Rattus norvegicus: one gene and its partners. The protein of the gene in region 1 interacts with the protein of each later gene in a pairwise test. Links are inferred from orthologs where the notes say so. Each region holds a gene or a part of one and is shown in the gene's direction. Other genes may lie near its edges. The genes, in order: Bend7, Nif3l1, Eaf1, Eaf2, Ppp1r37, Nkapd1 and Usp20.

Region 1 (4,205 bases):
ATCGGACCCTTCCATGCCTCTTATAACTCTAAAGAGATCTAAGAACTTCACCAAACACCATTTCATTTCTTCCATACAATTTTCCTGGGGAAAGGACCCAGCCTCTAACATTACCTCAAAAAGAAGTAGAAAAAAAAAAAAAAAAAAGAATCCTCTCTTTACTCTGTTGCGCTGAATGAAAGCTCTCGTCTCACCGAGGCCAGCCAGGTTAAACCACCTTTCCCATCGTTTGCTCCACACCTATGTCTATCCTGCTGTCTCCAGTTGGCTTGATGCCCACCCGGTCCTTTGGTTTTATTTCCCAGGTATGCTTGCACTGTTTGCTTCTAACATTCCCCTTTTCTTGGTAGTTACCCTGCTCTTAATGTCACGGTTATATCAGAGTGGCTTTTGAAAGGCTATCTCATTTGACTATAACTCACCTCACTCATTCATCAAGAGAGCCCACCACACCCCCGCCCCCTCCCCGCTTTCCTCTCTATTCTTTGGAGCAACCTGACCTTACCAAGGTGCTGGAGCAGCAGCTGCCCGTCCCTTCTTCCCCTTTGTACTTTGGTCTAGAAACCGTAGATTTGGAGGCAGTACTTTTAAGCTTGTCAGATCATGTTCCCACACTACCATTCCCAGGTGATGTTAAAAAAAAAAAAATCTTTTCTATTCCCGCTTAAAACATGTGGTAAGAAATGGCGCCTACAGTAAGTGCACCCCAGAGAAAAATATTACATAAAACTCCCAACGGTCATTTGTGGACGTCAATTATTTTTGCTATTTCTGCCTCAAGTGGCAGAGTCTAGGCACCTGCTATGACCACTGTTTCTCCAGGAGCCTGCACCCCCTTGCACTCCTCACCTCTTGTATTCCTCTCCCCAAAACACCATTCCAAGCACCCCCTTTGCATATAACTTCCCCTCCAGCCCCCAGGATGGGGGTAAAGAATTGAAGTTTGCTCCATCCCATAGTCGTCTCAGCAGTCCATTCTCAAATTTCTCCCCGTTTGCTCGCAGAGCGCGGATGGGTAAGTTCTTCACCCCCTGCTAAAAGTTGCCTAAAATCCGCGCCTGGCCCTGGCACCGCCCGGCTCTCAGACTGAGCGAGGGCTGGCCGCCGAGGAGCCGCGATCCTCGGCTTATTTCTAAAGGCAGGCTCGCCTCCCGGAGCGGCGGAGGGAGGCCCCGCAGAGCGCGGCGTCCGCCCGGGGACAGCTCCGCCGGCCCCGGGCGGCCACCGACGCTTGAGCCGCGGCCTCCGGGCCACGCCGGGTCGCCGCGCGGCCGAGTCCAGCAGTGGCGGCGGCCCCCAGGGGATGGCGGCGGCCCGGCTCCGCCAGCAGGTGGCCCCGGGGTCCCGGCGGCGCCGCCCCCTCCGCCGGCGCGGCCCCTCCTCCCGCGGGGGCGGTCAGCGCCCCGGCCGCCGCTCCGCACCCGCCGCCGCCGCCCTCCCTCGGCTCGCCGCGTCTCCCGGGCCGCGTCCGCAGGCTGAGCCCAGGCGGGCCGCGGCGAGCACCCCGCAGCTCCGCGCCCCCACCCGGCCCGGCTCCCAGCGGAAAGTTGGGCTGCGGCGGGCTGCGTTCGGGAAAAAGCGAGGCGACATGAGGGGGCACCGAGGGGTCGCCTAAGACACCGGGAAGGCGGCGCCGCGCGCGGGGACAACTTCGCCCCGGGCGCGCAGCCCCCGGCCGGGCTCGCGGTGGTTCCTCCCGTCCCTCGGCCTCCCCTGCCGATCGCGACGCGGACCTTGGTCCTGGCGGCTCCGCGGCGGTGACACGAGCCCGCCTCAGCGGCCGCCTCAGTCTCCTGCCGTGCCGCCACCTTGCCCGCACCATGGAGTTCTCGGAGAGGAAAAGAAGCAGGAAATCCCAGAGCTTCAAACTGGTGAGCCGAGGTAAGCTGCCGGCCCGGGGACAGCGGCGGGAAGCCGGCGCCGCGCACCGCGCACTCGGCCCCGCGCGCCCCGGCCGCCCGCGGGCTCCACGCCGGGGGCGCGCCCGCCCCGACCCCCTCGTCCTCGCCCGAACCCGGGGCCCCCGCGGGCCGCACACGCCCCGCCGCGGGGAAAGTTGTGCCGGAGGGGGACCCACCGGGTGTTATTGAAGGTAAACAAGTCGGAGGGCACGTCAGGAAATTAGCAAACAATGACACCGGGGAGCGGAGCCCGCTCGGGGGTGCCGCCGCCGTGGCCGCCGCTGGGCTGGGGTGGCTGAGGGTTTGCCTGGCCGGCAGGCCGAGAATGGACTGGGATTTGTTTTTGTTTTCGTTTTTTTCCCCCCCACCCAAAGAGAAGGAGGGGAGAAAAAGATGATCATTGTTCTTTTTAAGAAGAATCAGCTCATTAGGGAATCGAAGCTCAAGGCAGAAATTGTTGACATACAGCATCTTTTCCAGTTGAGTGATTTGGGTGGAAAGGTAGTTTTAAGACTAGCTCGAATGCCAGCCAGACAAGTGTCATCATAAGAAAGAAAGAGAAAAATCCAGCTAGGTCCTGCAGACTAACAGGTGTACAGCACACTCTTCATAGGTGTTTATTTTGTCGGGGGAGGAGAAAGTTGAATAGTGTCTCCTCTGGGTTCTGTTTCTTGTTCGAGTCCTTCTTCCTGATTTGAATCTTTAAAAGAAAAATGATGACAACTCTAGATAAGGAACCCACCTGTCAAAATGTCGAGTATCACCTTAAAAAATGAGAGAGGTGATACCTTCGCACCCCACCCCACCCCACAGTGGCACAAGCCCTAATATGAGCCCACCCTCTTTAAATATCTTTGAATCAACTTGGGTCAAAGCCAAACCAGAGAAGCTGACCACTTTGCCTGGGTGATTTTTATCTAGCATTAGCATCTGAGGAAAGAGCCACATGGTTGTTCCAAGGGCCCCGGCAAAAGTCACGTGTAAACAGGTGACTATTGGAGGGTGGTTGCAAGGGACAGAGTTTTCCCAAACTGGGCTAAGCTGAAATGAGGATTTTATAAAGCTCACTTTTGGCTAGTCTGGAAATGGTTTAATTATAGACATTTTTGAGACTCTGCTCATCTGTGTTTCCCCTAATTTAGTTTTGTACTGTTTAACCATAGAGTAGTGCATGTATTCAAAATATTTGGCGACTCCTTGGTATCCACCTCCCCAGCAGGGGTGTTGACTCGAGTTTTGTACTTTGGAAGTGTCTCCATGTGTGATGGCCCTGTTGATACAATGTGTTCCATTCAGGAATAGAGGCTGCTTTCTTCCTTATGACCCAGGAAACTTAACTACTCTATCTTAAAAGAGAGGGTCGTTTTATCATGTTGTCCTGTGAGAGCTAAGGCAAACAACAAAAGACAAGCCCACCCAAACCTTGGATAGTTGTTGAGAAGGGATCTCTATTTTCATACCGGGGAGATCTTGCTTTGTAAAAAGCTACAGCACCAAAATGCTGTGGCTTCCACAGGAGACCGTAAGCTGTATTTGAAAATTTGATTAACATAAGGAGTTTTTCCTTTCTTTCTTTCTTTCTTTCTTTCTTTTTTTTTTTTATGCTGAGTGATTCTGCTATTCAGGTGCTTTTCAAATTTTTTTGGAAGATAAACTACTACAGGTTCAGTTAGGGCAATAATTGAATGCAAAAGATTCACTTAGGTGAAAGGTAAAAAAGTCTGGCTTCTTTTCAAAGTATACTTTTTAAAAACAGCACATCAATATCTTTTTTTTTTTAAAATACGGGCTTACTTTTAAGCTGAGATTTTCTGGGTAAACTGAGAAAAGAGGCAGTTCAGAAGCATACTATTGATGTGCTCACCAAAATGGGTTGTGGAAATAAATCTGGGAAACTCCATTGGCCTGTGATTTGGCAAGGTTTTCCTCTTTCTTTTCTTTCTTTTCACAAATATACTTGCTGTGAAAACTGTGGCCAAGCATACCTGCTTTGTAGAGGCCAAGTAACATTTCAAGGTCTTGTACTTCACAGTAAGCCAAGGTTTGACGATTACTATTAACTACAATTTCTGGGAGAGCTCTTGAAAATATACCTGTAAGTTATATATATGGGGACGGGAGTCTTTAATTGCTCATCCCTATATGTTGCAGTCATTAAAATTCTAATTTTCGGTTATTTTCTCATGCCAGATTATCACCATGAGGTGTATAAAATCTCAGAATTCAGCAACGATGTTAATGGGGAGACCAAAGAGACACAACCCATGTTCTTAGGTAGGTTCTTATATCAATTAATTTCTCGGC
Region 2 (3,500 bases), on another chromosome or scaffold:
CTGACTGACTTCCTGCCTGTATATTTCCATGTCTGCACGATCAGGCACATATTCTGTAGTTGGGGTAACCAACCTTATTTACAGAAGTGAGAACAGAAGCTTAGCTGGGTGGGGCCTTACCCTGAGGCACTCCTCCTCCCTCTCACACAAAGCCTCTCCTGTCTCTGGAGCCCATGCTTTGGCTCCTGCATTAAATTTCTTTGTACTCTTTTCTTCAAGCTCCATTTTCTCTTTCTTTTTGCCCTGCTTATCCCTTTTCATTGTAAACGTGCTTAATAGTGATTACCAGTACCCAGGCAACAGGGTCAGGATTAGGCTGTCTTGGACTTTCCTCCATGAAAACTTTTTGATTTAACCTCAGGCAGGCTTTTAGGACAACAGCCACATTCTTTGCCAAAATATCACAAGAAACATCTCTAACCTAGTTGCTAATAGGTCCCTCTGGAACCTTTTGAGCTGGGTCTCCTGTGCTCACCTTTTGGTTTAGAATGTCTTTCCGTGTCCCATCCTGCCCCTGTCTTTTCCTAGTGTACTTGACATGACTCCCTTTTATCTTCTTTCTGGTTTTCTGTAAGATTTACATCCCAGTAAAACCAAGAACTCCCTTCCGGACCCAGCTCATTTAGTCAGTGCCCCCTTCCTAAATGATTTATTTAGTGAGTGTGTGTGTGTGTGTGTGTGTATGTGTATGTGTATGTGTGTGTGCGCGTGCTCATGTGTATGCGTGCACCTTGTGTAGACTGTGCCTATGGAGACCAGAGAGATGTTGGATCCCTTAGAGTTACAGGTAGTTGTGAGCTGCCGTGTGGGTGCTGGGAACTAAGCTTAGCTCTTCTGCAAGAGCAGCAAGTGCTCTTAACTGCTGAGCTCTCTCTCCAGCTCCCAGTGTGCCATTCCTGCCTTGATTATGTGTTAAGTGTCTGAGAGTGCGAGCTCCGGGAAGTTAGAATGCTTTGTTAGGTTTGCGTCCCAAGCGTCAGCTGAAGCTTCCTATCGCAAGCGCACATGTAAACCTTACTGATTCCAGCTCTACACATTTTAGGAATTGGGACAGATGGGATCTCTAACTTTTATTTCTCTGCAGCCTTTGCTTCTGCATACTGGAATGGGACGCTTGTGCACACTGGATGAGTCTGTCTCCCTGGCAACAATGATAGAACGAATCAAAAGACACCTAAAGCTGCCTCATCTTCGCTTAGCTCTTGGAGTGGGGAGGACCTTAGGTAAATACCTCATCATCTGGGGAGGACCTTAGGTAAATACTTCATCATCTGGGGAGGACCTTAGGTAAATACTTCATCATCTGGGGAGGACCTTAGGTAAATACCTCATCATCTGGGGAGGACCTTAGGTAAATACTTCATCATCTGGGGAGGACCTTAGGTAAATACCTCATCATCTGGGGAGGACCTTAGGTAAATACCTCATCATCTGGGGAGGACCTTAGGTAAATACCTCATCATCTGGGGAGGACCTTAGGTAAATACCTCATCATCTGGGGAGGACCTTAGGTAAATACCTCATCATCTGGGGAGGACCTTAGGTAAATACCTCATCATCTGGGGAGGACCTTAGGTAAATACCTCATCATCTGGGGAGGACCTTAGGTAAATACCTCATCATCTGGGGAGGACCTTAGGTAAATACCTCATCATCTGGCAGATGGACTGTGATTTTGAACAAATTTTGGTTTTGTTTTTGACACCTGATCTTATAGGGCATAGGATGGCCTCAAACAACTGTTCCTTTTGCTTCTATCTCCGAAGTACTGGGATTCAAGTGTATATTGCTATTATTCATGTAAGTGGTAGAACTCGTTTAAGACCAGATCAGCCCTACATCCAGGAGATCCTATTCACGAAAACATGGAGATGGAGATCAATGCAATAAGCAAGAGGTTTAATAATCCAGTGCACTGGGGTGACCCTGTACTCGGGACAGAGGTGACCCTGAAGAACAAAGGACCACACCCTTTATACTGTTTCAGGTGTAGGCTTTAGGTTACAGCATGAGTTGGTTATTTCTCATTGGTGGGGCCTATTACTTTTTTAATTCATTGGTGGCCGCCTATCGTCCTTTGAATTCATTGGAGGCTCTTGGTGGGGAAATACCTTTGGCACTGTAGTGGGTGGTGAAGGACCCCTGCTAAGGACAGTTAGCTCATTTCCTGGAACAGGGTGTTATCCTAAATTCTACCCAGTGTTTGCCTAAGGCAGCCTTTGTCCTCAAGTTTGAATCTCACACTCATTAGCTCAGGGAGATAATTGGTTTACTATGTCAACCAGGGTTGGCTGGACTACGTCTCCCTAGCCTAAATGAGAAAATCTCTTTTTCTTAGCCATTCTGTGTTCCATCTCCAGTCAGCGTTGGAAGCCTGCTGATCCTAAACTGGTCATTGTTGCAGAGGGAATGGAGGGTTTAAAATCACAAGGTCAAAAGTCTAGACTGGGCTGGATTGTGGTGATGCAAACCTTTTTACTTACAGCACCTGGCTGAAGCAGGTTGATCTCTGTGTGTGTTGTCAGACCCCCTGAATTATAGGGGGTGGTGAGCCACGACACGGATGCTGGGAACCAATCTTGAGCCCTCTGGAACAGCAGCAAGTGCTTTTAACGTGACCATCCACCTGCTCTGCGTTGCTCTTTCTCCAGCTGTTTTTAGTCCCTTGGCCCCCTTGTCACTGCAGACCCAGCCAAGGTTTGTTATTAGCACTGAGGCAAAGCCCAGAGCTGCCACTTTGCTATTACCCGGGGGCTTATGGGTTTGTGCAGCTGCATTAGAAGGAACACTGCCCTTGTCTTGTGTTCCCTTTTGGTATCAAACATCGGTCATTTGCATAGATTTTTTTAAAATTCTTTTTGGAGCCAGGCATGCTGGCACACACTTGGGGAGTGGGGGCAGGAAGGATCACTAATTCTGTCCAAGTTCAAATTTTAAGACTTGAGAGCTGGCCCTGAACTTAGGGCTATCCTTACAGATCTGGGATTACAGGCACCATCGCCATACCTGACTTGGGCTTTGCTGTTGCTTTGCATTTATTTTTTGGGACAGGGTCTCACAGTGTAAGCCCTGGCTGTCCCAAAACTATGCAGACCAGGCTTGCCTTGAACTCACAGAACTCTACATTCCTCTGCCTCCCAATTGCTGGGTTCAAAGGTGTGTGCCACCAACCACACCCAATTTAAAATCAAAGACTGCATAATTCATTACATTGGGCTAGTCAGTCTGCATTTAGAGTTGGAATTGTAGTACAAGTCGTAGTGTTAAACTGAAAGGCGTTGTAGTATCTCTTTAACACCTGTTGGTACTTTTGTCTTGAAGAGTCTCCAGTCAAAGTTGTGGCCCTGTGTGCTGGTTCTGGGGGCAGCGTTCTACAAGGAGTAGAGGCCGACCTTTACCTCACAGGTAGGACTATTTCTGGATCTCTTCCTCAACCTTACCCTACTGTTGCGTGTAATTTTAATAAATAGGCTTCCGCCTTCTTGGGAGCTCTGCCTAGG
Region 3 (3,500 bases), on another chromosome or scaffold:
ATAAGGGAACCCTCAGCTATTTTTATTTAATCTGAAATTAAAAGACCAAGGAGTCTCATTCCCAGCCACCCAGTGGGAACTCTCCATTGTTTCCTTTCAGATGACTTTAAGCCAGCATCCATAGACACTTCCTGTGAAGGAGAGCTCCAGGTTGGCAAAGGAGATGAAGTCACAATTACACTGCCTCACATCCCTGTAAGTTGTTTCCCGTGTTGGTCTAATGTGATGAACCCTTGTGTTTTATTTACAGTTCATATTTCCTTCTATTTATTTATTTTTTATTATTTTGGATTTTTAAATAGCTAACATAAGTAGAAAAGGAATTTAGGAGTCAGGTGGGCTGTTACTCATGTGTCTCGGGGCTTGGTTTAAGGTAGTTCTTTGTCCTTATTCCTGACCCCCCTTCCCCCTCATATATAGTACACTAGGCAAGGCTCCATCTAGACAGTGGCCCCTCTGCTAGGCATATGTAACATTTACCCCAGCAGTTCTGGAGAAAAGGGCCCTTTGTGCCCTATGTATCACAGCAGGAGAACATATAGAACAGCCAGAAGACAGGTCAGGAGGCAGAGTGACATCTCTGTATTCAGTAAGGGGTCCGGTGCAGGCTGATCTTAGGTCAATCCCCAGTACAGCCAGAGGAAAACAGAAAGGAGACTGTGTTTGCGCTCATACTTTGGGCTGGGGAGAGGCTTGAGGGAATGAAGTAATCAAGCGGGTTGGGGATTTGGCTCAGTGGTAGAGCGCTTGCCTAGGAAGCGCAAGGTCCTGGGTTCGATCCCCAGCTCCGGAAAAAAAAAAAAAAGAGGTAGTCAAGCAGGAGGACTGGGGTTTGGGTGCCTCAGAACCCATGTAAAAGCTGGAGAGACATGGCGGCTGCTTGTGAGTCCACATTTACAGAGGCAAGGACATGGTATCCCTGGGGCAAGCTGGCTAGCTAGACTTAGTTGGGTTCAATAAAAGACCCTGCCTCAAAAAAGAAAAGTCAGCTTTGGGCTTCTCCTGCCCACACACAGGAAAAACATGTACACACCTGCACACACCACACACATGTAGAACAGAGTTAGAGTAGAAGAGCGTCTTCGCACTTTTCACAGCTCTGTCCTCAAACAGAAAGCTCTGTGTAGCTGGTGACAGTGCAGACGCTGCAGCAAACCTGGAAGCCCTCGAGCAGAGGAAATAGTCTGCATTTGCACTCCTGTTGCATTGCATCTTGTCCATGGAAGATTACATCATCTCCCGTTGGACCTTAATTCCCAAGTGAAAAACAGAGTTAGGTACTGGGTCCCTAAGCTCCCTGCAGACCTGCGTTTCTACTGTGCAGATAAGGGGCTGAAGAGCCAAGCAGTTTGTTTTTGTTGTTGTTGCCTTGTTTCATACTTTTAAAAATTCTGACCAAGTTAAATCTTATATTTAACAAATATTAAATCAGTGTCCAATGTGCTGGCCCATTACTAGGCTGTAAGAATTAACTTTAAACCAAATGAGGACATGTCCTGCCTTTGTGCAGCTTAGGGTCTGGGATTTAAATATAGGAATACATGGCAGTTGCTGGATATGATGCTTTTCAGGAATCCTAGCCTTTGAGAGGTGGAAGCAAGATGATTGAGAGCATAAGGCTAGCCTGGGCTACATGAGACCCTGTTTCAGAACCAAACCAAAATAAACACTTGTGGAAAACCAGAGAGGAGTTACTTGAACTTAGCAGAAGGTCAAATAATTTACAGTGTCAAAATATAGCAGTTAGAAGGCCAGTTAAAGCCATGAGGCAGGAACAAGAGGTCTTCCTAAAGACCACGGAGCCCAGAAATAGGAGGAGGATCCAGGGGCTGCCCTAAAGATGTCCTTTGGCCTGAGAGCAGCCTGTGAGTTATTGAAAGGCTTGGGGTGATGGTTAGTTCCCACCCTCCAGGCTAACGGGCTGGCTTACCCTTGGAGAAAGCTGTGCTGGTCATTTGCCTGAGGGGGAGCCCTGGGCTCTTCAATTGTAAAGAAACGCACCGATCACTCCCTGCTCTAACCAGTTATTTAGTGCCGTGCTGTGAAGTGTAGGGCAAAGCTAATTGTCCTCAGTTGGTGCATTACTATTCTTTGAAATATTTCCTCACATTCTTAAAGATTTGCCTAGTAATTTAAAGTTTTTATGCTATATTTCTTGATTTCCAAAACCAGGTGCTTACTATAATGTTCCTTTCCTTTTGCCTGAAAAGCTAGAGGAGTAAGACAGAGATCAGTCATTGCTCTTTTGAGTGGCTCTGATGAAAGATTGGATGAAGCAGTGCCCTTGGTAAAGGTAGACGGTCCATAATTGGTGTGTTTACACTTTCGTGGCAAACAGGGGTCCACTCCGCCAATGACGGTGTTCAAGGGGAACAAACGGCCTTACCAGAAAGACTGTGTGCTCATCATTAACCACGACACTGGGGAGTATGTGCTGGAGAAGCTCAGCAGCAGCATCCAGGTCAAGAAGACAAGGTATGGCGGCTCCGTGTCCCCCTGGCCTCTTGTGCTGGAGGGATCACAACTATGTTCATGTGTGTGCCGGCAGGCAGGCTCCTGCAGAATAGCCTCAGGTGTTTGTAAACCTCCGGAGCACTTAGTCCAGTTTCCTAAGGGCCACACCGTTCAATCAGTAATCCTAGCTACTCCTGTCTCAGACACATCAACAATAAAAGGTACATTTTCCTCCAATCCAGAAAAAGAAATAATGCTTTTAAGAGCTAAAACATGAAGTCACTGGGGAGAACAATTATAATTGAGCCAATTTTGTCAGACTCATAATTGCTCTTATACTACCGAGTAGGGAATTCAATTTATATGCATAGACTTACAATTACAAAGTAATAATTGCATAACTTTACTAAATTACTGCTTGTCAATTAGGATATATTTGGGGTGACTATACTGTCAATAACACCTTGCCTACTGAGTACGGGGAGCCACACCTGGAAGCCCAGCGTTTGAGAGGTGGAGGCAGCAGGGTCAAGAGTTCAAGGCCATCTGCAGCTGTGTAGTGAGCTTGAAACTGGTCTGAGTCCACGAGACCCTGTCTCCAAACAAAAGTAACAGTGGCCTTGCAAGATTGCTAAGTGAAGGGGCTGGGGATTTAGCTCAGTGGTAGAGCACTTACCTAGGAAGCGCAAGGCCCTGGGTTCGGTCCCCAGCTCCGAAAAAAAGAACCAAAAAAAAAAAAAAAAGATTGCTAAGTGAAGAAAGGAGTTTGCCACCAAGTCTGACGGCTTGAGTTCAGTCAGGACCCAAATGGTAGAAGGCATAGCATAAATAAAACTGTAATTTTAAAAACTTCAAAGCAATAGCAACAAAACTTGTTTCCTAATTTTAAAATAGTGAACTTTTGGGTTCACTCAGTGTTAGAGTTTATTTAAAAGTCAATTCATTCTATGAACTTTCTGCATTACAGTAATCATGGTAAGATAATGATTAGGGTTCTTGTGGGGAGGGTACTAGGCATCAGATCCAGCGCTGCACTTGGCTGAGCT
Region 4 (3,500 bases), on another chromosome or scaffold:
ATTCTGAGTGGGAAACATGGACGTGATCTAGTTTCACTTGCACATATATTTTCCCCTATTGTAGTCATCTATAAGTCTACTGCCTGCTCGTTTGAGCAGTAGCATTGTTTTACCATTAGTCCTCCCATCCTTCCAGGGACCTGTGTGTATCCCACACATACCAGAGGAACTCAATACATATTGGTTAAATGGTTTAACGTCTTATCCTTAAATGTCATTTGAGAGGTGTCTAAAGGTCGAGTGATAACGTTTAGTAACTTAGTATGTTGAATTTGTGACACTTTTAGCTTATCTGGTTTTGATATTTGTTATTCTTAATTGCAGAGGAGAAGGAAGTAGCAAAATCCAGTGCAGACTAGAACAACAGCAACAACAAATGTGGAATCCACCCAGGACATCCAACCTTGTACAGCATTCTCCATCAGAAGATAAGCTGTCCCCAACGTCTCTAATGGATGATATTGAAAGAGGTAAATTCTAACTGTGTATAATGTCAGTGTATAAAAGTAAATGATATTAAGTAAATACTAAGTGTTAGTTTTCATGTACAGTGGGACTTAGTGAGAACATAATTTATTTTATGATTGTGTACTTTTCTAGGATAATGATATAACATATAAATTTGCATATTTATATAAGTATATGCATGTCAGAAAAAATTTTAGTATCATTTAGGAGGAAAAAGTGTTTCATCAGTGCTTTGTAGCAGCTTCTGTGAAATTTATTGTTCACAGTCAGTTACAGAGGGCTAAGGCACCATCAAATCAACAGAAACAGGATGAAGTTTCTTTCTGTTACTGTGCCCCTTTTTGCAGGAAGGCATTTCTGGGGAGGTATAGAGTGTTCCAAAGGAAGGAACTGAAATCTCTGCTTCTCTCCAGCTACACTAGGGATATTGGTGGTACAGTGATTGAACAGCAGCAAGATCCCAGATCTTGAATTTTATCTTACCTTCTATTCTGACTACTTCCAAAATAGTATCATGGTATCTTTCCTATATATGTATATAGCTAGAAAATTAAGAGATTAAAGGGGGAAATGTAAAGTGTATATGCTAGTTATTAAAATTAAAATAGAATTTAGCTTTGTGATGACTGGATACCAAAACAAAAATAAAGATGTAAGTTATATATTTTATATTATCTTAACATATAGTATATTAAGATAGATTCCAAAGAACCGTTCTATTCCTTGCTACTAGATCCTAAAAGCAATTCATTATGTGAAACAATTCTGGAAAGCAGTTGTGTCTTGAGGAGTGAGTCTGTGGGATAGGTAGAAGGTTCTTCATGTGGCACTTCTGGGTCAGACCTTAATTAAATCAGTGCTTTGACATCATACCTCATAGAAAAGGTAGAGAATCAGCTAAGTTGAACTAAGAATAGTTTTCTTTTTCTAATTTACATGCAAAGGGACATTATCTACCTGGAGATGCTCATAGCATCCTTAGACTATATTCTATCAAATGTTTATTAACTCTAGAGTACTACTAACTTCTTTTTTAAACAATTTTAAAATTATGTGTATGTGTGTGGGAATATGCGTATGCTCACATGTATGCAGGTGCCCACAGACGCCAGAAGAGGACTCACAGGTGGCTGTGAGTCACCTGACATGGGTTTTGGGAACTTGGGTCCTCTGGAAGAGCATGCTCTTAACTGCTGGGCTACCTTTTCGGCCTCATGACTGACTATTCTCTGATGACTGAATCATCTTTCCAATATATATCCAGAAATTACACTAGAAATTCTGTGCATCTGTTTCTGCACTTACATCTTTGAGTTATCTGTGAATTTGAGTTTAAGAGATTTAGATAGGACCTAGAATTCCCCATATCACTCAGAGACACCAGGAAGCTGAGCACTCCAGCAAAAGGAATAGTGCTATCATGAGCGCTTGAAGTTTTAAAGATCTTCTTTGTGCTTGGGCTGAGCCTGTCCTTCTCCATCAGAAAATGCATGGGCAGAAGGCATGTGCATGTGATACCACGCTATGAGGAATGCTCATTCCTTTCATCTCCCAGACAGCCTCCCTGCCTTCAAAGTTTTCTCTCCATTTGAAAGGCACCTTGAGACTGGGTGATACTACTAAGGGACACCTGCCTAACAAACACCTTGCTGGGAAGCACTTTTCACTTTCCTCCCCCTTCATGGACACACACACACACACACACACACACACACACACACACACACACAACCCTGAAAGCAGTCTTTATTGTATTAGACCACAGACTTCCTTTTCCCAGGAACTGGGCTTCAGTGCTAGTAAAACTCCATTGTTAAGTTTACCAATGGGAACTCTAGTTGCTTGAGATTTACCAAGAAAACCAAAACAGATATGCAAAAGGTCTGAATTTAGAGTGTCATTTGTCACAAAAATAGGCAAGCATCTGCATGCAAAGCCTGAACCTGACTGCCTGCTAAACTAAAAGATTTAAGTCAGTTGTCCCCTAGAATGGGAAGTTACGTATTATACTGTAAATCAGGAAAATCACAACTTGAATGAGTAATGTCTTTAGTAATTCTCAGAGAAAATAGAAGTTAGAATTATCTGATGATGATCTTAAAATAGCTTTCACAAAATGATCCAATTATAAATTTTCTTGAAGCAAGTGAAGAGTAGAATTAAAGAGAAATTTTAAACAAGGCTCAAATAGAAATTATAAAACTAACAAAATAACAGGGCAAATCCACTGGGCAGGCCCACTTACTAGAGACTAAATAGACTGAGAGAATTCACTTATCTAAAACAGAAAGTGTCCTTAAACAAGGGGAACAGGGCCCCAAGGATTTGTTGCAGAGTGACAAAAGTCCCAAGAGGTGAGACAACTGAACTCTCAGAGGACAAAGAAAAGGGGACTGAAAAATAATTGGGAGAAATAATCCCCAAGAACGTTCTCAGGTTGATGAACAACATGATCCATAGATTCAAGAAATCCAGCAAATCAAAAACAGGATAAACCAAAGAGATGCATGGTGAGACACATCAGAATTAAACATCTGAAATTTAAGGGTAGAGATAAGAGTTCTGATGGCAAGGGAGCTATGCCGTATTACATAGAGGAACGCCATGTAGGTGACATCACTGTCTTATTGGAGACTCAGAAGTGGCACTACACTACTTAATGTTGAAAGTCGTGAACTCTGTGCTTACCAAATTCGTCTCAAGTGATAAATGGGAAATAGACTTCCACAGAAATGAACACTAAAAAATACTTGTTACTAGGGGGCTGCTCTGAAATGTTTGCTTTAGAAATGGAAGTAATCATAAAAGAAATGACAACAAGAAGGGATGTGGGGGCATCAGTTATGGATAAAGAGCAGAGAAAGATAATGGACAATAGGGTATGGTTGTCCTCATGACATCCCCAAATCATATGTGACAATTAAAGCAAAAGCTAACTTTTTGGTTAATACTAGTACTTAAGATAATAATATTTAAAACTTGCAATGATAAGGCATCTAAAGTGATTTTTACATCTTTCCTGTGACAGTGAA
Region 5 (4,291 bases), on another chromosome or scaffold:
CTGAGGAGACAGGGAGTGGTGGTGGTGTTCGAATTTGTGTGACAGCCCGGGAGCAAATGCTGCAGGTTGGTGGTTAGCATTGAAGATTTACCCTTCCTCAGTTTGCTCCACCTCCTAGTGAGAAAGTCTGTGTCACCTGTTTCAGTCCCTTGTCACTAGAAATCTTTCAGTAGATGATATCCAAAAGCAGTTCCTAGCTGAGCACAATGCCCTAAGCCTGTAATCCTAGCCCTTGGGGTGGGGAATGGGGTGTAGAGGTAGGAGAGCCAGAGATAATAAAGCCAGTCTTGCCTACATGGTAAGTCAGAGGGCAGCCTGGGTTACGTGAGAACCAGTAAAACCAAACCAACCAACCAAACAAGAAAACCTAGTTAATGCCTTTTATTGAAGTTCAGAATGTAAGTGAAGGCTTGCATTAATTATAGGGGGCTTTTGGTAATTCTCAGTCTCAAAAGTGTGCTAATCCACAATGTGAAGAGGGAAACAGTTACCCTGAGCAGTAGCCTTAGTTGCTATCAGTTCACACCGCTGCCTCTCTCCAGCCCCAGCCCAGCTCTCTAGTCCAGTTCAATCAAGTCCAGTTCTACCATTTCAGTCCCTTGCACCAAAGGGTTGACCCTTAATAAGAAGGGAAAGCGAAAGTGCCGAGATGAATCCGAGCTATGAAATCGATCCCTTGGAGGTGTGGCCTGGGTTCGCTCGGGTTTGGTCAGCTGATTAATCTCGAGCTTTTGGAATTCCGCTCCCAGTTTGTTTTTTAATCAGGTTCATGAATACCCAGCATTTACATTTGATACAATTTTGACGAGACAGTGAAGCTAAAGTCTGCTCTTCTGTCGCTTCTGTCACCTGCACGTACTCATCCTATATTCAGCTCGGCTCTCTTGGCTTTTCAACACCTCCATCACTTTACCCTGCTCCCAGTACTTGGCTTAGCCCCGCCTGGGTCTCACTCTGTAGCACCTGCTTGTCTGAGGCTCCATATGTAATCCAGTCTGACCTCGAATTCACAACCTCCGCCTTCAGCCTCTCCGAGGCTAGGATCACAGGCGTGTCACTACCCTGTCCAGCAGGTAGTTTTTAAATTAAGGACTCTGATCCTTATTTTATATTTTAAGTTTTTTTTTTTTTTTTTTTTTTTTTTTTTTTTTTTGTGGACGCGTGTGTAGAAATCAGCGGACAATTTTGTGGCGGCAATTCTTGCATTTTACGTGAGTCTCTGGTATCGAGCTCAAGACGACTTTTACCGCTGACGCAGCGCTTTTGCAGACCGCGGTGAAAGGATTTCTAGTGAATTCTTTCCCGAATTACTTGGACTTGTGACGAATGTGCGGGAGCCTAAGTGTTGACAGCTGGGCTGAGGGCGGGGGGGTTAGGGGGCGGCGGCGGCAGCGGCAGCGGCTGAAACTCGCGCATGCGCGGCGCTCGGGGGAGACAGCGATCATAGGCCCCGCCTCTGTGTTCTGCAGTTCTGGCTCTGCAGATTCGCTGCTCACGTTTCTCTTTCCCGTGGAGTCAACTGTTCTTTGTTCCCGTCTTCGTGTCGCCCTCGAAAAGATTATTTTTTTCAGAACAAAATCTCGAGTCGGGGTTATGCTTTTCTCGGTACGCAGCGGGCGCCTTAGCTTGTAGCGAAAGTGTGGCTGCGGAAGAGCAGGTACTCGCGGAGCTCGGCGGAGGCGCGTTGGGGCTCCCGGCGGCGGCGGCGGCGACGACGACGACGAACGGAGCAGACGGAGGCGGCGCTTGAGGCAGCGGCCAAGCCCATGCCCCGGAACGGCGGGAGGACCCGGAGAGACGAGTCCGGGGCCCGGGGCATGTCCCCGGGGCCCCCGTGAGGAGGAGGAGGCGGTGGCGGCGATGGAGATCCCGCCGCAGGAGGCTCCGCCCGGGCCGGGCGCGGACGCCGACGCAGATGCCGAGGCCGAGGAGGCCCCAGCCGAAGCTGGGTCTTCCAGCGGAGCTTCGCCCCCAACCGATGGGCGCCTTAAAGCTGCGGCCAAGCGTGTCACGTTCCCGTCGGACGAAGACATCGTGTCCGGAGCTGTGGAGCCCAAAGACCCCTGGAGACACGGTAGCTGTGGCTAGGGTTGCGGGAGAGAGCCTAGGGGCGGGTGGGACCGCCAGAGCGCCGACTCCTACGGAGGTGGCCCGCGGTAAATGTCACTTATCGGTGGTTTCAGCGGTTCCTAGGTTAGAGCTGGAGGCAGTGGTGTTGGCGGGAGAGTTGGAAAGGTGCACAGGATTGGGTTTTCAAACCCTAACCTTGTCTGGGAGTTTGGGAGGCTGGCAGCCAGCCTTTGAGTTCATGGTACACCCAGGCAGGAATAGATGAAAAGAACCCGTCTATAGTATTGGGGGAAAGGTAAGTGAGTCCACGGGGCGGTGAGAGCAGAACCAGCTGGTCTGTAAACCAGGACGCAAAGGGTAGCCGGCTATGGCCATTGCTTTTCTGGCTGGAATGAGAACGGGAAATAAACCCAGACTGTACAAGAAGTTGGTAAACCCTCCGACTGGGAAAAGAGGGTCGGAGGCAGCAGGCTGAGAAGCAGAGGGCGAGGTGGTCAGTTTGCCTGTATGCGAGGAATTCCTCAGTAAGGTTCAGCAGCAGAACGTGGAGCCCACTTTTACCAGGGTCTTCCTGGGGAAGGACTGGGGAATATTACCTACTCAGGTGTTTCTGGTCAACAGAAGCCGTTGGGAGATGGGAAGATCTAAGATCTAGGCCTGTTGGAGAAGGTTGGTGGGGAGGTAGAACTGGACGGGCACTTGGAGGTGTGCATTGGCTTTGATGGCTAGGAAAGATGAAAGGTTTCGGAGGAGACGGACTCAGGCTAATCCCGTTTCTGAGCTGAATTGTGTTTTGCTTGGGTGGAGCCTGTGAAGTGAGGTCGCCCACTGGCCATGTTCCGTAGAAGCTAACCTGCTTGTCTGGGAGCAGACAGACACTACTGCCAGGCTGTGGGCAGCAGAGTGGGCAGCTAGTAGCTTTGATGTATGTGAGGGCGGGGACTTGGTTGCAGGAAATGATACACTGAGAGCTCGCCATAAATGCCAGTTTGACTAGTAATTATCAAAGAGACCAAGGTTAATTTAGATTTGACTTGGGGAGCCTGCCAGGGCCGGGTGGTTTGTTTAAGGTTCTGAACTTCTTGGAACTGGTGCTGAGGACAGGAAGAGTCCAGTGGACCCTGGCAGCAACCCGATGTCCACTGTGGTGAGATCACAGCAGGAATGGGAAAGTTGGAGCAGTGTGGCCATTCAGAAGTGGTTAAGAAACCCGGTGTGGCTGTATGCAGCTGTGAGCCTAGCGCTTAGAGGCCAAGGCTGGACCATAGAGTAGCCATTCTAGGGGGGCTTGAACTGCATGGTGAAACCCTATTTCGTTATAAAAATAAAAGGGGAAAAAGAAAGGCTAGCTTGATCAAATTCTGATTTTCTCATTTGCTGTCTTTTACAAACTGCTGAGAAGTTGCCTGGATCCCCTGAGCCTCAGAACCCCCCTTCCCCAGAATGACTGACAAGAGCAGTGGCCCAGGGTCTGCCAGAGACTGAGTGACATCACACATGAACAGTGCCTGGTGAGGGTGAGCCCTCTTAAATCCATGATGATTATGAAGGCAGCACTGAGACCTGGAAAGAGCTTGCTCTTTAGTCAGGGCCAAAGTCAGAACCTAGAACCTTCCAGGATAAGGGTCAGATGGTGGGGCCTGGAGGTCAGGGCACCTGGAGGGTCAGGCAAAGTTTCTGGCCCACCGTTTTTCTGAAAAGGCTAAGCCTTTTATTTATTTTTTTAATATTTATTTAATGTATATGAGTATCCTGTTGCTGACACACCAGAAAAGGGCATTGGATTCAATTACAGATGGTTGGTTGTGAGCCACCATGTGGTTGCTGAGATTTGTACTCAGGACCTCTGAAGAGCAGACAGTGCTCTTAACCACTGAGCCATCTCTCTAGCCCCCCCCCCTTTTTTTTTTTTTACATAAAATGGTCTTATGTAGCACAGATTGTGTATGGCTAAGGGTGATTGAACTTTGACCTTCCCACCTCCCTCTCCAGAATGATGGGATTGCAGGTCTGTGCTAACACTCATTTTATGCAGGTCAGGGGATAGAGTCCAGAGCTGCTTACTGCTTGTCAAGCACTGTGGAGCCACGCTTGCAGCATATGTGTGTGTGTGTGTGTGTGTGTGTGTGTGTATATATATTTTTTTTTTTTTTTTTTTTTTTTTTTTTTTTTTTTTTTTTGGAAACAGGATTGAATTGGGTAGTCCAGGCTGTCCTCCAAT
Region 6 (4,294 bases), on another chromosome or scaffold:
TAGTTTTATTGAAGACCTCTCCTCCCTTGCAGTAGCTCCACATACTAGGATCTTTGTCTGTAGACAGAGTTGAGGTTCTGGGTCGGCACAGAGCTGTTTGCCATCTTTCAGCTCCTGCTGAATGAAGTTCCGGTAGCGCTCGGGATCATTTTCTGCCAAATCATCGAGCATGCTCCAGAACTGGGAGATGTGGGTGAGAAGACCCTTTGAGGAAGCCTTCATGATGGTGATGACTCAGGCCTTTGGAACCTGTTAGAGAGACAGGACTTGAGAAAGGCATGTAGGGTAGCTATGGCCTTATTTCCTCTTTCAGGGAAGAAGGAAGGTTTTTGCAGTTGTTCTGGGGGAGGCTCTTAACTGGTCTTGCTTCCTATGTCTAAAACAGTGTACACGTACTGCTTAATCTTGGCTTTTCTACAGTCTGTGAGCTGAGCCGCTTCCTAAATACCCACGTTGTACCTGTACTTCTGTCTGGTCCTCACAAATACAGAGGAAACAGAAAGGACTGTTGTTCCAATAGCTGGAATATTGGCTGACTTGGTGCCTTCCAGACCTGAAAGTGTAGGAGAGAGGGGTTGGGGGGGGGGGGGGACGGGACAGAGAGACGGGAAGGGGGAGAAATACATAGTGGCAGTACAGTAGTTAAAACTAGGCGCATTGCAGTCAATATGCTTAAGTTCTTCCTAACTACAGACAGCTGTATTGCCTTGAGCAAGTAGTGTATATATACACCTATTCTCTCTCTCTCTCTCTCTCTCTCTCTCTCTCTCTCTCTCTCTCTCTCTCTCTCTCTCTCTCTCTCCCTCCCCTCTCTCCCCTCTCTCCCCTCTCTCCCCTCTCTCCCCTCTCTCTCTCTCTCATTTTTTCGGAGCTGGGACCGAACCCAGGGCCTTGCGTTTGCTAGGCAAGCGCTCTACCGCTGAGCTAAATCCCCAACCCCACACCTATTCTCAAAACAAAGATGAGGATTAAGAACACTAATACTTAAGCTGGAACACCTGATAAATACTACCTCAAAGTAATAGTCAAAGATCCCGCCATTACCCTCCTCCCGTAAGAGAGAAATGTCGCCCAAAATTTAAAAAGAGATTTAGAGTCTTCAAATTATATAGTAAAGTCAGATTAAATAAACAACGAATACACACTTAATCCAAACGTGGGGGAACGCACCTCTTCTCTCAGTTTGGAGACAAACTGTGACTCTAGTTACCATGGTAACCAGGCCCGGTACACCGTCTAACTGAGTCCGGGGAGTGCAAATTAGAGTGGTGTCTCTATATCCAGTTCCGGTTCTTTTCTCCAGTGCCGGACTGGCTCCTCAGCGGGCTCGTCCCGCTTCTCTCTCAGGAGAGCGCCGGCTTCCTTCCTGCACCTGACAGCTTCCACGGCGACCGGCGAGCCCGCTCTGTGGGAGTCTCCTGTGGAGGGAAGCGTTTCTCCGGAGCACGACTTCCGGCCCGGAAGGAAGCCGCCGCCTTTTCTCCCACCCCGCCACGCGAGGCTGCGGCGCACGGTATGGGTGTGTTTGTGTGTGTTTGTGTGGGGAGGGCGTTTCGAGGGAAGGCTGCGGAGAGCGCCGAGGCTGTGGCGGGGCAGGGAGCCCGCTGACAGACATGGGGGTGTTTTCCCCGACTTCCCCTTGGAAACCTCAAGCTCCCCCTGAGGCACGCTAGACACTTCCCGGGGCCCAACGGAAGGCCGTGCCCATGCCCCGTGTCCCCATTCTGTCCCGGGAGTGAAACCGAACCGCCGGGCGCCGTCCCAGCCCAGCGAGAGCGGGGAATGCCCCGGTCCGCCCGCAGGCCGCGTTCCGCGCCTGCGCCCGCTCTGGCCTGGGTCCCGGAGAGAGAGCCGCCTGGCGGGCTCGGCTGGGGGAAGGCAGCCGTAGCCTGGGCCTCGGGTGAGGGCACTGTAACCGGTGGGAAGGCTGCGTTTTCACGAAGGACTCGGGTGAAGCTGCAGAGCTGCCTTTCAGCCCTGACTCCTTGGCTTCCTGGGTCGGAGGAGATCTTGTAATGGAGTGGTTCTTCGTCTCACACTAACAAGATGCCTGATTTCCTCAGGATCGAGGGGTGAGTGAGCATCGGGACGGTGGCACCAAGCCCCTGCTAGCTACACATGTGACTATCATTGTCTTCTGGGTTTTGAAAAGTTCTGTACAATGTAGGAAACAAAATGCCCTGAGTAGACATATTTAGGTCATTTAAACTTTTTTTTACAATTCAGGTTTTTTTTAAACTGTTGTCATACGTGGTGTTTGATACGTTCAAATCTACGTGTTTATAGCGTTGCAAGCGAATTTTGGGCAATTCGAGATTTGATTTCTAGCCTGTATACTGACATATCCTTAGCCTGGGTCCATGCGGCCTGGGGGCAGGTTACAGCTTTAAGGAACTTGATTTTGAAAAGAGAAGTGGGGGTAGAGTCCAAACTGGGGATCCTCATAGGTTAAAACAGCAGCCAACTTGGAGAATAAAATTGCATCTGTATTGATCACATACAGACCTTTCCCTCTTTTGTCGTTTCTAATCTCTGTCATGACATTTACATAACATTTGTATAGTTTTAAGTATCATAATTAATCTAAATACCCCCACTCCTCCTAAATGTGGAGGAGCATGTCTGTTGGCAGCCGTAAGAGGAAGAGGAGTTAAGGGCTAGCTGAGGCCACTTAAGACCCTGTCTTGAGAAAACAGTCCAAATTTAAAATACACAGGAGCATAGTTTATATGCAAATACATTCTGGGGGAGAGATGAGCACCCTAGGATTGCTTTGTGTGTGTGCATGTATGTTACAGAGGGACTGGATCCAGGGGTGGCTCTTATGCTAGGCAAGTGCTCTACCAGCCCATACTTGGATTTCTGGAACCAATTCCCCATGGATCTTGACTACTTGACAGAGAATTGAGAGGTCTAAACAACACGGTGCTCATAGAAACAATCTTGAGCAGCTTTGTGTAATTTTAAAGACTTGCCTTACATCATTCCCTTTCATCCTTACTTATACCATAGTCGGGTATTATAATGGTGAAAGGAAATTTTTCCCTTAGATTTTCTAGTTCGGTGATTTTTTTTCTTTCTTCATTTCTTCGTTTCTTTGTAATTTAATAAAAATAAATTTATTGCATAATATTGGTTCATTTCAGATTCAAGAATGTCACGGGTTCCATTGGGGAAAGTCCTCCTGAGGAATGTCATCCGGCATACAGATGCTCACAATAAGGTAGGCAATACAATCTCGTTACCGTCAACATTTGTTGCAAGCTTACAGTTAACCATGGATTTTGTAGTGAGATAACAAAGATGCATAAGAAACAATTATAGCTTGAAAAGTATCATTGCTATATCATGAAGATAGTTACAACATGATGTGTGGTAGAAAGCAGACGATGGGTGAGTGGTGCCTGATGCTGCGGAGCTTAGGAGACAGACTAGGAGACTGTCTGATACTGTAATGAGATACTGTGATGAGAGTGACTTCCAGCAGACCACCCTCTGTGACTGGGGAGGAGATAATGACGGGACAACAATGACAAAGGACAAGCATGAGAGACACACTTTGGTTTTCAGTATATTTATGAACAGGAGCTTGATGTTGAAAACTCAGACTTGGAGTTTGGGAACTTAGAACTCACCTAATAGTGCACCTGTAATGAAAAGATTAAGACCCCCTTGTCCCGTTTTCGTCAACACACTGTACTCCTGATTTGATCGTTCCTATTGCTGCCAGCATCATAGTACTTAGGTGTTAGGTACTGGGGATTGAACCTGTGAATCACTGGGAACCACTAAGCTTGTTGTTTAGCTGGTCTTGATCTCACGTATATTCTGGGCAGGCCTTGAACTTACCACTTCCACAGTGACTATAATTATAGACCTGTGCCCCGCTGTTCCTGAGTAGCAGGTGGCTGGAAGTGTAACGGTCACTCTTGCTGCTTACACAGTTATGTTAATTCTACTTCCAGTTGCATAGGGACCTGTGACAGCTAAACACAAGGTAGTCCTAGCATAGGAAGAGGACTCAGAAATAAAAGCTTTTGCTTCTGGCAGTTGTCATCTACTTTCAGTCTAAATTCGAGTAGCTATGTCGCATTGTTTCTGTTTGTGACAAGAATTTTAATGTGAGCCATGTATGATGTACATGGCTGTAATCTCAGCACTGAGGAAACAGGAAGTTCGCTCAAGTACATGGCTAGCTTGTGTGTGGCAAGAATGCAGAAAACAAACAAAAAGGGACTGGAGAGGTGGCTGCTTTCCACAGGGGCTGGGGTTTGATTCACAGCTCCTCAATGGA
Region 7 (4,260 bases), on another chromosome or scaffold:
TCCCCCTGGGCAGGTGCTCCTGTGCTGTATAAGACAGCTGCATATGAACAAGCCAGTAAGCAGTGTTCCCCCAGGTCTCTGCCTCAGTCCCTCCATGATTCCCCCAATAGCTGAGTATGATCAGGAGGGGTACAAGTTGGTTTTGGTCATGGTCACAGTTGTAGGAAGCAAACTGGGACAATCAGGTTTGCAGGCTGGAACACTGATGGATGGGCACTATTGAGAAAAAAAGTGGGAAAGTAGTTATAAAGGCCAAAGAAAAAGTCAGTGCCCCACATGCTGTGAATGGGAGTGGGGTTGAGAGGCAAGGAGGCAGCTGTCGCACACTCCTGCCAAGCCATTTGATATTCTGGAAATCACAGTGTAAGATTCTGTCGGCTACTTATCTATAATAAATAAATCTACAACAACAACAACAACAACAACAACAACAACAACAACACCACCTTAATCCCCTCTACGATCAGTGGAAGTGTATGTCAAGAGAAGGGACTATGTCAAAGGAGAGGTTTTCGACTGTGACTCTAGCTGGAAATATTTCTTTGTCATTAATGACGCCGCCACCACCCCCGTGGCACCCACCTCACCCCATTTGGCCTCTTCCGCAAGTTCTGCACCTCTCGCGTTTCTTCCAGTTTTAGCCTGGGGAAAGATAAAGTGATGCACAGGTTGAGAGACCGTCTGCGAAACTCAAATGCCAAACTCCGTTCTGAGGACGTATCTCTCTGCCGAGTCTCTGACACGGTGGGTCATCGGCAGTCAGACTCATGCTACCCCGGGGCACCTCTCCCAGCCGCGCTGCCCGGGAAACGTGGCTGTTATCCCTAGGAGCCTCTGAAAGACAACAACCTTGGCTCCCAGTAAATGGGGTCAGCCTGTCTCCCTCTTCCTGGCCTGTGAAGACCCTACCCAACACGTACCGAACCTCCTCTGATTCTTGTTCATCCTCCTCCGACTCCGAGTCAGCGCGGCGCCGACGGAATGTCTTCCCGGTGATCCGCATAGCGGAACAAGACCCTCGGCGCTGCGTTACCAGACGCGAGGTACAAGGAACCTCTCTCTCTTCCGGCGCGCAGAAATGTCGTCAGAGCGCCAGCTGGAATCAGACCCGCCTCCGGCTTGCCAGGCCACACCCCAAACCTCAGCAGGGAAGCCGCCCGCTCGGAACTCGGAAAAGAGCAAGTACCGCCGTGTGGCCACACCCTCGGCCACGCCCCCATCGAGTGACCAAGCTCTTCGCCAGCAGGACAGCCTTAGAACTACAAGGCGACACCCTAGCAGCACGGCCACTCCCCCTACTCCCGGCATGCTTGGGCACTCACCACTCGCACGGCCACGCCTCCGGCGTGCTTGGTACCGCCCTCTAGTAGGCCGTGACCTGTGACACCGCCCCCGTCCCTGGCATAGGCTCTCCCGATTGGACTTCTGACGGTGAGGAGGCGGGGCGCGGCAGGCTTTGCCACAAGACTATGCGCATCGCCGCGGTGGGCGCGCTTGACTGACAGGCGGCGCGGTTGCGACGGCAGGTGAGTTTCTGACGGCTGCTGCCTGCTGCCGGGGGCTGGGCCGCTAGAGCAGGGATTATCGTGCCACCGCTGGAGCAGGGGTGGTCTAGCTTTGCGGGGCGGCCGGGACCTGGTGAGAGGTCCCCGCCGCCTACCCTTCCATCACCGCATCCTGTGCCCGCCCCGAACCACCACGGCCCTAGCTTTTGAGCAGGCCGCACGTCGCTAGGAAGGCCAGCGCGAGGCCTCTCGGGCTCCGAGTCTCAGATATGCGCATTTATTCCTCACTCACAAAAGCTGACCGCCTTGCCGGGGTTGAATATCAGTCCCGGTGCCGACTGTCCATACTAGGTTGGCCTGCAGCCATTCGTCCCTAGAAGGGGTACCACTGACGTTCAGAGGCCGAGACTGCCCTTCGAGAGCTTGGGATGACTCCTTTTGCCAGGAGGATTGTCGCTCTGCCATACGCACCTTACACCCCCCAATATTGTGAGGGTAGTTTTTAAAGGTATCTATAAACACTTATAAGATGGATAAGTGTGTGCCTAATGGCTCACATGGGACTTTTAGGGACTCCGTAATTACTAGTTTCCTCTGGAGCAAAGCGCTTCTTACGACACTTAACTCTGTGGCAGGCACTGGGGTAAGCAGTCTCTTCTAGAAGCCTCCCATCTAATCCCACAAAGTAGATGCAGTTGGGTCTCTCTTTCAAAAAAACGAGGCTACCAAGGCGTAAGAGAAGTAAGCCATGCTTCAAGTTACCCAGCTGAGAGGTGAAGCTGGGCTGGAGACAGAGCTTTCACAGCTGCAGAGTTTGCTTCAGAGACAGCCGGCCTCTGTGGGTCTTTGCTGCTGCTATTGCTGCAGCTGGTGTTCCAGTTTATGGGCTGGGGGAGGGGCTGATGGAGACTTTCTAAAAGACTATTCTAAAGCAGGGAGGGCATGTCTGCCATGCCTTGGCATGGCAGGGTTTTTGTTTGTTGCTGTTTCCTGAAGTTGTCACATTCCTCTGAGACTGGGACAAAGAGAAAACTCAGGATGTATTGAAACAGCTTTTTGGCTTTAATCAAAGAGGCGTTAAGTATCAAAGTCTTGACCACACTGGAGATTGGTTCAGCCATCTTCAGATGTAGATGGCAGTCACTCAACACCATGTCTCTGTTAGCGGGGGAAAAAGAGAATCCTTAGGATCTGCTGTGTGAACCCAGGGATTTGGGTGTACAATTTTCACAGGCTCGGAAGTGGTTCTTAATTTCCCTGCCTAGCCATGCCTTACCCCTTAACCACGAGGGTACTGGGCCACTCTGGTATCTCCATGGAAAGAATCAGAAAGTCAAGAGCATTTGGAGACAGACCTCTTTTGAAGACACAGAGAAGGGACATCTCCCATCCTTGAAGCCAGAATGCTGGGTGATACCAACTCCCTGGGCTGTGGCAGTTGGAGTTGATTCTCGTTTGACCCAAGTATTGCTTGGAATGTGGCAGCTGGAAATTTGACCTAGGTGTTGGGTACAGAGACTGCAGCCACTCTGAGCAGTGCTCTTAGACACGAGAGTGCTCTGGAAGGAGCCTTCAGGAAAGTGAGGGGTTTCCTTTTCTAGTTCAAAGATGAGCTCAGATTTTAGTCTGTTATGGGAAGTGGGATGAGTGCTGACCTCCTGGGGAGCTGGGCTGATGTTCAGGGAGCAGTCGCATCTAGGATGGCCAGACCATGGTAAACATTCTAAAAGGCTTGTTAGACCTGGGCAATGGTGTCACTTGCCTTTAATCCCAGCACTCGGGAGGCAGAGGCAGTGAGTTCCAGGCCAGCTAAGGCTACCCAGAGAGACCCTGTCTTCAAAAAAACAAATAAGTGAATAAGGAAAAATGCTTGTTTAAAGGACTGGGGATGTGGCTGGGTTAGAGTTCTTGCCTAGCCTGTGTGGGGCACTCTGGAATCCATCTCCAGCATTGCATAAACGGGGCGTACTGTTTCATGCCAAAATCCCAACCCTTCGGAGGGTCAGAAGTTCAGCTTCATACTTAGCTGCCTAGGGAATTTTAGAACAGCCTGGGCATCAAAGGGTTATTTAAAAAAAAAAACCAAACAAGCAAACAAACAGATGTGGTGATCATGCTGTTAATCCCAGGACTTGGGAGTCTGAGCAAAGGCAGACAGGCAGACCTCTGAGTTTGAGGCCATCTTGGTCTACATAGAAAGTCGCCAGGTCAGCCAGGCCTATCTCCTAGCTCTAAGGGAAGCTTTATCTTCCAAGCCTCTTTTGAGGCATCTGCAACAGAGCAGTTCACTGCTCCACACTGCTTAAGGTTCAGACCAGGGGCCCGGACTACCGTGTGCCAGGAGCTTCTCTGAGTCACTGGAAAGGAAAGTGCGTTTAGGTTTGGGGCTCTTCCCAAACCTAGAACCCTTTTCCTTAAAAAACAAAACAGGGCCTTGCTGGAGCTAGGAGGTGAAGATTGGCCCTGTGTCCTACTGGTTGGCCCATTTGGGATTTTGGAGCCACAGTTCGTTTAGAGCACTCACTGGCTGCAAGGAAGGTCCCCTGGGTTTGGTTGTGGCTCTGTGGTCCTGGCTCTGTGACTCGGACCCTTCCCCCACCTTTGGTGATAGATGGGTTGCATCCTGGCTTCCCAGGGCAGTTTTGAGGGTCCTCCAAGGGTCACCCTTAGGAGAGCTCCAGATTTGGAATTATTAGCAGAACTACCAAGGTCGGGTCCCTGGTGGACAGGAAGATCTAGAGGTGTCAGAAGGGGA

The links.
Region 2: the proteins of Bend7 (region 1) and Nif3l1 interact in binary tests that used the Homo sapiens proteins (3 or more experiments, as listed by UniProt). The two-hybrid records come from large-scale screens. The link is inferred for Rattus norvegicus from reciprocal best matches to the Homo sapiens genes BEND7 and NIF3L1.
Region 3: the proteins of Bend7 (region 1) and Eaf1 interact in binary tests that used the Homo sapiens proteins (3 or more experiments, as listed by UniProt). The two-hybrid records come from large-scale screens. The link is inferred for Rattus norvegicus from reciprocal best matches to the Homo sapiens genes BEND7 and EAF1.
Region 4: the proteins of Bend7 (region 1) and Eaf2 interact in binary tests that used the Homo sapiens proteins (3 or more experiments, as listed by UniProt). The two-hybrid records come from large-scale screens. The link is inferred for Rattus norvegicus from reciprocal best matches to the Homo sapiens genes BEND7 and EAF2.
Region 5: the proteins of Bend7 (region 1) and Ppp1r37 interact in binary tests that used the Homo sapiens proteins (3 or more experiments, as listed by UniProt). The two-hybrid records come from large-scale screens. The link is inferred for Rattus norvegicus from reciprocal best matches to the Homo sapiens genes BEND7 and PPP1R37.
Region 6: the proteins of Bend7 (region 1) and Nkapd1 interact in binary tests that used the Homo sapiens proteins (3 or more experiments, as listed by UniProt). The two-hybrid records come from large-scale screens. The link is inferred for Rattus norvegicus from reciprocal best matches to the Homo sapiens genes BEND7 and NKAPD1.
Region 7: the proteins of Bend7 (region 1) and Usp20 interact in binary tests that used the Homo sapiens proteins (3 or more experiments, as listed by UniProt). The two-hybrid records come from large-scale screens. The link is inferred for Rattus norvegicus from reciprocal best matches to the Homo sapiens genes BEND7 and USP20.

The regions. Positions count from the first base shown.
Region 1 is NC_086035.1:78,472,640-78,476,844, reverse strand, and holds the start of Bend7 (BEN domain-containing protein 7), read left to right. Parts: upstream 1-1,405; 5' UTR 1,406-1,820; coding exon 1,821-1,881; intron 1,882-1,918; exon of another isoform or gene 1,919-2,092; intron 2,093-4,091; coding exon 4,092-4,175; intron 4,176-4,205.
Region 2 is NC_086027.1:67,484,372-67,487,871, forward strand, and holds part of Nif3l1 (NIF3-like protein 1), read left to right. Parts: intron 1-1,084; coding exon 1,085-1,223; intron 1,224-1,717; coding exon of another isoform or gene 1,718-1,800; intron 1,801-3,321; coding exon 3,322-3,405; intron 3,406-3,500. UniProt on the Homo sapiens protein: May function as a transcriptional corepressor through its interaction with COPS2, negatively regulating the expression of genes involved in neuronal differentiation.
Region 3 is NC_086034.1:6,707,727-6,711,226, forward strand, and holds part of Eaf1 (ELL-associated factor 1), read left to right. Parts: intron 1-100; coding exon 101-195; intron 196-2,338; coding exon 2,339-2,475; intron 2,476-3,500. UniProt on the Homo sapiens protein: Acts as a transcriptional transactivator of ELL and ELL2 elongation activities.
Region 4 is NC_086029.1:77,489,585-77,493,084, forward strand, and holds part of Eaf2 (ELL-associated factor 2), read left to right. Parts: intron 1-324; coding exon 325-470; intron 471-3,500. UniProt on the Homo sapiens protein: Acts as a transcriptional transactivator of TCEA1 elongation activity. Acts as a transcriptional transactivator of ELL and ELL2 elongation activities. Potent inducer of apoptosis in prostatic and non-prostatic cell lines.
Region 5 is NC_086019.1:88,337,793-88,342,083, reverse strand, and holds the start of Ppp1r37 (protein phosphatase 1 regulatory subunit 37), read left to right. Parts: upstream 1-1,491; 5' UTR 1,492-1,860; coding exon 1,861-2,074; intron 2,075-4,291. UniProt on the Homo sapiens protein: Inhibits phosphatase activity of protein phosphatase 1 (PP1) complexes.
Region 6 is NC_086026.1:59,860,382-59,864,675, reverse strand, and holds the start of Nkapd1 (uncharacterized protein NKAPD1), read left to right. Parts: upstream 1-1,494; 5' UTR 1,495-1,513; intron 1,514-1,864; exon of another isoform or gene 1,865-2,072; intron 2,073-3,146; 5' UTR 3,147-3,154; coding exon 3,155-3,223; intron 3,224-4,294. Other genes in the region: Pih1d2 (PIH1 domain-containing protein 2), read right to left, coding at 46-222.
Region 7 is NC_086021.1:34,669,225-34,673,484, forward strand, and holds the start of Usp20 (ubiquitin carboxyl-terminal hydrolase 20), read left to right. Parts: upstream 1-1,460; 5' UTR 1,461-1,526; intron 1,527-1,533; exon of another isoform or gene 1,534-2,013; intron 2,014-4,260. Other genes in the region: C3h9orf78 (telomere length and silencing protein 1 homolog), read right to left, coding at 583-642, 921-1,003.